Linked DNA regions of Schizosaccharomyces pombe. The protein of the gene in region 1 interacts with the protein of each later gene in a pairwise test. Each region holds a gene or a part of one and is shown in the gene's direction. Other genes may lie near its edges.

Region 1 (5,066 bases):
TACTTTAGGTTTGGGTTATCAGAATGAGGGTTTTCATTAGCGAGTGAAGGAAATATGTCTTTACAAAGGGGATAATATTTTGCATCCTGATGCACATTAGGTTGATAAGAAATTGTGGAGGAAATATAAGGATGCTTTTGGTTGATGGTATTTGGAGATCGAATCTTTTTCCGAAAGATCGATTCTGTTTCGTTATTAAAGTCAATATCAAAATCATCCCAAAAGCCGTCGTCATTATGCGCAGAGGAAGGCGTACGAAGCGAAGACTGTTCTACGCTGGAAAAGGAAGCTTTTGGATCCATCCTATTTTGTTTTCTGTGCAAAATACTGTTTAGGTCGGTATCTGGGTCTATTTCAAAATCATCTTCAAATGAAGAAAAGCCTTCCGATTCACAATAAGGGGAGTCCGAAACACTGGGATACCGAGCATCATTTTCACTTGAAAGATATGTTTTCTTAAGAGTATCACTAGAGAATGGAATTGGAGGTCTTTGAGAAGCAGTTTCAGATGCTCTAATAGTATTGAATTCATCAACATCGGCATCTTGGTATTTATTGGGACGAAGTGTATTAAACTCATTATTACCTTCTTCACCTTCTTCATCGAACGAAAAATCATCTTCATAGCCTTCTACATTGGAAGAAATTCGGTTCTTGTTGGAAGACAGTTCATGGTTTAAATTATGTACTTGTTGATTCCATTGTTCGACACGAGAATGAGCGCTTGGTACATCAGAAATTGAAAGGCTATTAAGACGACTAATAGAGTCGTCAAACGAGAACCCATCATCCACACTCGTACTAGCACTAGTGGTAGCTATGGATTGAGTAAATAGGCTAGCATTATCGACGTCGGAAGCAAAATCAGGATCATCGTCCCAGCATTCAACTTCAGTCATTCAATCAAAATAAACGTATACTAAAACGGCTTTGCTAAGAAAAGAAATTGGATGCAAAACGCATAGAATGATTACTAACCGTATTCACCCAAAACTGAAAACCCTAAATTTGATTTTCAAAGAAAAAGAAAGTGAGAGAGAAAAAGGATGGTCACTAATTTTGCAAAGAAGTAACCACTGTAAATATTTACGCTTTCAAACCCAGCTTCGAGAAGTAATAAGTTATGAACAGCAATTCAAAAGGACTTCAGGAATATGATTATGATGATGCTTTCAGAGATACAATGAAATTTTGTTTTGTATAGAAAGCAAAAAAAAGAATTTAACTTATTTCAATGACAAAATCAAGGAATCTGGGTTAGCGGTATATTGTTGAAAGAGACGGAGGTTGAGCTAGAGGTATAAGTGTAAACACCAACTTGATCAATTTACGTACTTTGGTTTCAGTACTTTACGAGAAATCAATTTTTAATAAGGTGAAAAATAAAGCATCTACTATTTGCTTGTGTAAACCTAAAAAAAAAATAGTTTTTTTTGGTATCTTTCAGTCATATTTATTTTTGCTAGATTAATCATAGTAAAATACTTAACCATATGTGATTGCCAAAATGCATAGCTGCACCTCACCTTAAAAAAATCTAGGTAATCTAATTAGCATGCAACTACGAGTTAATGTTTTTTAAAAAGTAGATAAATTACAACGAAGGTTAGTAGGTGAAGCAATAAATAGTATGTTTAATCGTCACTCGTATTAGCAAATTCATTCGTCTTAGAATTTTATTTTCCTCCACGAAAATATATATATTTTTCTTTGAACGTTTAAATTATTATAAACAATTGCTTTCTCTGAAATTTATGCCCATTTACAATTTAATTCTGTTTATGGAATCTACATATTCGTTCAAGTATATATGAAATACATTTTAAGGAATCTTTTTTTATTAGATTCTTCGTATAATTTCTAAAATACATACTATTTTCATATACGAGTTTAGATAAATTACAAAAAAAAAAAAAAAAAAAAACGATTAAACTATAGGTTAAAAAGTAAATCTATTAGTTTATAACAAAAGAAACGTCTTTGTTTTATTTTAGTTTATTTTTTTACATCTAAAAAGTTATTGAAATCAACAATGGTAAAGTTGAACAAATTAACTCTTCAATTCATAGGTATGAGAAACCGTTCTTCATTAGTAAATCCAAGTATGAAACATAATCATGTTTTTACCCCTATGCGATCGCGCTATTCATATTTTTCCTAAATTATTTTTAGCATCAATTCTGTCTATAGTTTCATATAATTTCAGTGATTTAATCATGTAATTATTCATGTAAAGTTCATAAAAAATATAGGTTGATGATCTTATTAATGTTTGTACTTAAGAAATGGTAAATCGAACAAGTTGAAAAAGTAAGCATGGCATCTGTCTTATACTCTTGTGCTTTTCTGTAAACCAAGCAGTTAAAAACATTATTGCTTGCTAGTAGCGAAGCAACTTACAAACATTTCTCATAGACGAGAAGTAACTCCATTTTTCAGATAGTCTAATAATAAGTCAAAGAAAAGGATGTTTAACATCATCCTAATCAAATTCATATAAAACTAATAATTGTTTTCCATCGAAGGAATCTATATATCGCACTACAAGGTGCAGTAACGAAACACTCAGATCGTGGAATCCGGATTGTGTTCTTAACCTTACGAGAAAAACGAGCCATTACGGTCGTGACTGTCCAGAAATCGTTCGATTTTTAAATATCTGAATTTAGTCTATTTTTTGATATAAATCCCCCTAATCCCATTCGCTGCTGGCACAGTGTTTTTGTGAAAACAAAACAACCAAGTTGTAAATTTAATTCGCAAGTTGAACAGTGTTTTGATTCTTCACTTGTGTTAATACCAATTCATCCAATCGGTTGTATCATATCTTAAATACCATTTTGGTTACTTTTTTTTTTGGACATTTTGAGCAAATCCGTAAAGTAAATAAAAAGATGTCTGACATTACCGTTGAGCCTATTGGCAAGCAGATGGAGAAGCTTATTCTCGATGTTCAGCAAGAAATTGTTGCTGGTCTCGAAGCTGTCGATGGACAAAAATTCTTCCAAGACAAGTGGACCAAGGGAGAAGGTGGTTATGGTATCAGTTGTGTTATTCAAGATGGCAACGTTTTTGAAAAGGGTGGTGTCAACACAAGTATTGTTCAAGGAAAATTGAATCAAGACGCTGTCCAAAGAATGCGTGCTAATCATGAAGGTATTGATCGTACTGCCAAAGAGCTTCCATTCTTTGCTGCTGGTATCAGTATGGTTATTCACCCTCGCAACCCCATGGCCCCTACTACTCACTTGAACTATCGTTACTTTGAACTTGTAAACAGTGATGGTAAGAAGATTTGGTGGTTTGGTGGTGGAGCCGATTTGACTCCTAGCATTCTCTTTGAAGAAGATGGCAAGCATTTCCACAAATTGCATAAAGAAGCTTGCGATCGCCATGACCCCACTTTCTATCCTCGCTTCAAGAAATGGGCTGATGAATACTTCCTCATCAAGCACAGAAAGGAGACTCGTGGCATTGGCGGTATTTTCTTTGATGATCTTTCTGAGAAAGATCCTCAAGAGTTATTTGCTTTCGTCAAGGATTGTGCCCATACCTTCCTTCCTGCCTATGTCCCTATTATGGAAAAGAGAAAGAACATGGAATTCACTGAAGATGATAAGGAATTCCAACTCATTCGTCGTGGATACTATGCCGAGTTTAACGTTATGTATGACAGAGGTACTTGGTTTGGTCTTCAAGCTCCTGAACCCCGTGTTGAATCTATTCTTATGACCCTTCCATTACATGCTTCCTGGCGTTACAAGTATGAGCCTAAACAAGAGCGTCACAAGGCTCTCCTTAAAGTAACGCATACCCCTATTGAATGGTGCTAGAAAGATTCACAAAAATGACTTTTACTTCAGCATTTAATGAACATCACAATTTTTGGTAATAGCTTTATTCTTTCGTTTGTTTTTAAACTATGCCATGTTACACTAACTCATGTTAAATTTTCTATCATGCCTTTTTTGCTCTTCATTATTTGGAATTCTTAACTGTTTGAATTTGCGATTTTGAATCCCTTTTCTAAGCTAATGAAACAATATTTTACCCTTTAAAAATCCGTATCTTTTATTGAGTAGTGTTTTATAAAGAGTTTTAAAGTAAAGTACAGTACCTATTTGGCTTGAGATCTAATTTCACAATATAAATTTCAACTGATCTGCACTTTCATTAACTTAATTTCAATGTATTTTTCTTTAAAATAATACGAATAAAAAAAAAGAAGATGAAGGTAAAATGTGTGTGTCTTGTCTTTATGATAAAACGACGTCGATCCCCAACGGATTGAGATAGACAAGTCATAAAACGTTAGCATCGGTACAAATTTTACAGTCGCTCTTTTCTTTCATTTGTATCTAATTCCCTTTTACACTCAAATACAGTGGGCCGATTGGGATCTGCTGATAAAGTGCAAATGAACCTGTTGGTTAATATCAAACTCACAGTAAGTGTATATAGGATAATAATCTAACAATCTCCCATCTTACGTACCCTAAAGATTGCATAGTAGCAAACAATTTTGTCTCCGCTGCAGCCAATTCAATGCAGGAGATATCCCCTGACTCCGTTTGTTGGCAAACTCGTTCAGTTTGATTGTTTAGACTTTCAAAGAAGACCTTCTGTTCTTTGGTTGAATCCTTCAAAAATTCTTGTACTTTTTCTTCCATTATGCTCTTTCAGAGGAAGATTCAGTCGTACTGCTATATCTAATAAGTTGAAGTCAGGCTAACGCTGTTTAAGAGCTGCATGTCATGAGTATTGCTGAGTAACTTTAACACGCTTGTAGACAGATATCAAAACTCACAAATGGCCCGTAGTTTAGCAACAACATCAAATGTTGTTCTGTTCTTACAATTTCTTACGATTTTGTTACTAACGTTGAGACTTTAGTCAATCATCAACTCGCTGTGCTTTTAAATTTGCTATCACAGATAGATGCGTTGCTTACTATACATTAATGCATACAAATCTTTTTACATAATAAAATCATTGAAATAAGTATTTATTCAACAAACACTATATAACAATGAAAATAACGTAGAAATTCGCTGCTGAAAAGAGAA
Region 2 (5,294 bases), on another chromosome or scaffold:
CCGTCATTAACTTTCTTGTTGTATACTTCAATAGGTGTATTATGAAATGTGGTAAAGCGAACTACCCTGCAAACTCCAATGCTTCCTATAGTATCAACAAAAGCAAAACAAGGAGCTGAAACACGAAGCACTTGCAGCATGATGATATGACCAAATTAAATACAAACTTTTGAACAAAAATAATGTTTCGTAAGCTAACTAAAGTAAAGAAAAAAAGTGGTTATTGATCAATTAGTGAATTCATTCAGGAATGATAAAGTGAGAGTGGATATAAAGCTGTAGAACGATTGTAGATGAAAAGCAAAAGATTAGAAAGAAAATATGTCAACTACAAGACGTACTTAGTGATTAAAGACATATGTTTTTAAGTGAATAAATATAAATCGTTGGACAGATGCATGATTATTCTTGCCTCTGAATAGCGTTCGGCAGTGCAGTTTGCTTTTATTATAGTGAATTGCGATGATTTCGGTATATGCGTTTGCGTATTGTCTTAATCATGAGCAAATGTTAATCTGAAACTAGTAAGTCAAGCCTATTTCGTTGGTAAATAGAAACCTGTTCTTAATAAAAAAATTTCTTGTTTAAAAAATTTTAAATTTAATGGAACTAAGTATAAGCAACTATACTTCCATACGATCCCAGATAGGTGGAGTTATTCTGTATATTAGTAAAAAAGTTAATCGCATGGAATTTCAATAATACATTGGAACTCATGTTATTAAAGTATTATTTATTTCTTTTCCATTTTTTGTATATTCAACAAACAATGGCAACTTTATTTTTTGTACTCAATTAAAAAGTACGAGAATAATATTAATTTGGTCAATATCAAGTATTGCTTCAGTTTGTTAATAAGTTTGACAATTGATGTTAAGTGATTTTAAGGAAATCCCGAAGAAAGAAGTTCGTATCGATAGTGAATTTAATTGGTGCTGTAGAGTATGTTTAGTTGAATTCCGTTCATTAGTTTCATAACTATTATTCCAGCAAAACGCAGATATTTATAAAACGCCTATATACGTATTTTTTGTGATTATTTGGTTTGGCTTATTAATATTTCTTATGTTTATTCTTATTTTATTTTATCTTTAGTAGACCACAAACAAATAAATGAATTATATATTAATATACTAGTGTTTACACACAGCTACTGCATGAAGTTATGATCTTGTATGTGTAACAAATGTTGTTAAATGATATATAAAAAAGGAGGGAAATTCTTAAAACGTGATAATAAGGAATACTGAAATGTTTGAGTTAAGAACTTTGAAAGCTTCTTAGTAGATAAAATAAGGCATATGTATTCGCTATTTTAGCATGTGAATTCATGAATGATATTTTAAATTTTCACTAATTACTTTAAAAAAAAGGGTAGTAAGTTGGCTCAGAAATATAAACTGATGCCATTAGCTTAAAAAAAAAAAAGAAAAAGAAAAACTATCTTCATACGCAGTAAAGGCCTTAAATTAATAAACTCTATAAAATTTTTAAGCTCATCTAAGCGAACACCATTCAAATAGTAAAACCGAAGTGAATTGTTAAGGCGATACTTTGTATTCTGAAAGAAGGCAGGCAATAAAGAATTTTAGAAGAAGCACTTAAACAGATACTTCAAATGTTTACTTCCTCAAAATTCCCATAAGTCATTACTTTGTTTGATCTTAGGCATCAACTACGCTAAAGCTCAATGTTATAAAAATATCTTTGAGTAGATGACTGTTTATCCCATAGTATGTACATTATTTGTTCGAAAATTCCCGTTTTTATAAGAGGAAATATTGGCATGATATTAATTACAAAGCAAAAGCTATGATAACTATGGTTAACAAGCTCAACCTAATGATCGTTATAGTGTTTAATATTTTAATGACATGCTAATAAGCGATCTTTGTTAGGTAATCGAGCTGTCGAAAACAAACTACTTTTAAATTTAGTTTATTTCATCCACTTTGACTCTGTAACCTTTTCCAGATTGATTAGCAAAAATCAGTTTTTTATTACTTGAATTTTTAATTGAAATCTTACTGCTTTCTTGTTATAATAAAAAAGCGTAACTGGTATGTCTAAAATCAAAGTTCGTAAAATAGACTGATTTCAAACATTTTCTTTCAAGTATTCACATGAATGCATTTTAGCATATGTTTAGCTAAATGATGATTATGTTTGATAAATGGATCCCTTCATTCGGTTAAAATTTTATAATTACCGATTATTAATATCTGATCATATGCTTACACTGTCGTTAGTAAAATTCTTCCTTTAGCGGTTCGATATTTTCTCGTATTAAAAAAATTTCTGTATTCTACAGCTTACAAATCATTACTTTGATTAAGTTAAACTATGCCTCCGATTAAGACTGCAGTGCTTGGAACTGGTGTGTCAGCTTTTGTTTTTCATTTCCCATTCCTTGAAGCTTTACCTTCAAAATTTGAAATTTATGCATGTTTAGAACGTAGGGCAACAGTTACACAATCCAAAGCACGCTCTGCATATCCCAATATTTTGGTTTATACAAACTTGGATGAATTATTAGCCGACGTCAATATTGAGTTGGTCGTAGTTTCCCTACCTCCCAATGTTCATTCTGAAATTGTAAAAAAAGCTTTGAACGCTGGTAAGCATGTGGTTTGTGAAAAGCCGTTTACTCCTACCTATGAGGAAGCCAAAGAGCTCTATGAACTTGCCGAATCAAAAAGCCTACTACTGGCAATTTATCAAAATCGTCGGTGGGATGGTGATTTTCTGACTGCTAAAAAAATAATAGAAAGCGGAAGACTTGGTCAAGTTGTTGAATTCGAATCTCACTTTGATCGATACCGTCTGGGTCGAAAATCTGGAAGTTGGAAAGATGAACCTAGACCCGGGAACGGAATGGTGTACGGGATAGGCTCACATTTAATTGATCAAGCAGTCTCCTTGTTTGGCACGCCTTACTCTGTTACTGCCAAGCTGGAAGCTCAACGTCAAATTCCTCCTTTGGAGGTGGAAGATTATTTTCGTATTATTCTTCATTACCCTGCTAAAGGAAACAAACTTCCAATCAACGTAATTCTGTCTTCTACTAATGTGTCATGCGGCTGTGAAATGCGATTCTGTATTAAGGGCACTCGTGGTTCTTTTATGAAATTTGGGTTTGACCCACAAGAGTCACAATTACATTCAGGAATGAAGCCTAACGATCATGGATTTGGAACTGATAGATTTGAGCTCTATGGAAACTTATGGACTGTTCCTTTGGATGCTGACGTGAAAGCTTTGCCTGAACCAACTAAAATTACGGTTCCTACTGTTCAGGGAAATTACCGGGACTTCTACGATGCGGTTTTTGAGGAAATCTTAAAAAAAGCTAACGAGTTTCCTATCAAATCTGATCAAGTTTTGGCAGTAGAAAAAATAATGGAGGCTGCATATAAAAGTTCTGAATCTTCTAGCTCGATCCAGTTGTAAAAGAATATTTACAATTTTATTAAATGAAGTAACCCTTCAGTGTGAAAATCCTTGCTTGTTTTTCTTTAAACTAAATGAGAAGTGATCTTAGAATTAAAATAGTGAATATTTGGTTTTAACAATTGCGTTATAACATCTCATAGCCATAATCAATGGTAATGAATTGCATGTTTTAGAAACCGTTTAAAGAATTTGAAATGGGATTACCAAAATCATATAATGTTCAAATGAAGGGAATATTGTTTTCATATTTAAAGCTCCTTTCCAATAAGTGGACGACCACTGGGACTGAACGTACAAAAGACAATAAAGTCATACTAGTGAAAAGATTCACTGTTGCTATTCTGTAATTATCTGTTTAAGCAGCATTAAAATTTTAATGCTCGTTTCATATGATATTGTTTGCGTATTAACGAAGTTTTCACAATTTCAACACTCTATTCTGACTATTGATTCTTCTTGTCGAGCTAAAAAAATTGGTAAATGCATTGATTTTCTATTTAGTATATAGGTATACCAAAACAATATGAAGTGAAATATGCTTTTCTTACAGACACCCAAACTATATTTGAGAGCTTTTTGATTAGGATACTGTATAATAAAGATTGAATCAAACAAACCATACTTTTACGAGAAGTATGATTTATGGTACTCGGTTATTGCCATTCTGTTCATCCTCCATGCTAATTTCACAGCATGTACTAAGTGTTTTCGGAAATAAAAGTAAATCTATCTTATAACTCTCTTACGATGAACAATTTATTTTTCGTTCTGACAATAAGTTTAACTGAAATTTAATTGAATGTCCCAGCCTTTCATTAACCACTAGATCGCCAGTTCAACTAAAAAAGATTTATAAAGTTATTTATTAGCTTTCATCAAAATCCGTTTCAATAAAATTAGAAAATATGCTTTAAATTGTGCGTTTACCCTCATTTGTTACATTAAGAGTCCATATATTTACTCAGTACTTAAGTTAAACAATTGTGCTGCTCATTCTATTCCATCGTATTATATAAAAATTTTATTATTGAGTGTCCGTAATTTACAATCCTATTTCTTTTGAATTTCGGGATGATTGATACGATTACAAGCAAATTATTAAATACTGCTATGAGAGCTACATGTGTCAAATAACTTACTGTTCGAATATATTCGGTGCGCCTTATTTTAATCTTTGTTTTTAAGAATACTTCTTTTTTCTATTTTCTCAATAAAGGTTTATAGTTCTTATTGTTTATTGAATAGTGATTATCAACGAAAAGTGGTAAACAAGCTTCAAACCAGCTACATAGCTCAGTATTTACTTAAGAAAACAGTAAACTGTGGTGTGTGCTTCGTTACAATATGCTGTTTTCTTATACGAATAAGACAAAGCAATTATTATTATACTACTTGAATGTAATAACTAATGTAAGTGCGACTAGAATAAAGTCAGATGGTGTATTTTGATATATTGTTAAACCCACTCTAAGAAGTTATAGTATGCAGAATGAATAATACTAGAGTACATGGTATAGCGATAAGTAAGGAATTTTCAGTTTACTAATCGGTAAACCGGATAGAGAAGTGCATAACGAGTTTACATCACAGAATGAAAGAATGCGGTAAACTGGGCAAGTTATTCCATATACATCTTCCATTACTACTTTCGGGTTTGCTCATTAACCAACCACTTATTTTATTTGAAATCTGTTAAATATGGGTGTCGAAAAGCAAGTTATTTCTGTAAGTGTTGAAAAAATCGGTAATTTCTTTTGAATCTACAAATATCTTCTCTGGTTATGTTTGTAAACAATTCATCCGTGTTAGTCGGTTCACCACTGATTTGCATTTCCTTAATT

What was found.
Region 2: the proteins of hem13 (region 1) and SPOM_SPBC115.03 interact in a two-hybrid assay, tested with the Schizosaccharomyces pombe proteins (one large-scale study listed by BioGRID).

Annotation. Positions count from the first base shown.
Region 1 is NC_003424.3:963,536-968,601, forward strand, and holds hem13 (coproporphyrinogen III oxidase), read left to right. Parts: upstream 1-2,600; 5' UTR 2,601-2,894; coding exon 2,895-3,833; 3' UTR 3,834-4,056; downstream 4,057-5,066. Other genes in the region: two-component GAP Byr4, read right to left, coding at 1-899; SPOM_SPAC222.17 (uncharacterized protein), read right to left, coding at 4,330-4,423, 4,495-4,670.
Region 2 is NC_003423.3:632,500-637,793, reverse strand, and holds SPOM_SPBC115.03 (gfo/idh/mocA family oxidoreductase), read left to right. Parts: upstream 1-1,909; 5' UTR 1,910-2,060; exon of another isoform or gene 2,061-2,098; intron 2,099-2,229; exon of another isoform or gene 2,230-2,249; 5' UTR 2,250-2,343; coding exon 2,344-3,450; 3' UTR 3,451-4,070; downstream 4,071-5,294. Other genes in the region: AFG1 family ATPase, read right to left, coding at 1-140; FKBP-type peptidyl-prolyl cis-trans isomerase Fkh1, read left to right, coding at 5,152-5,178.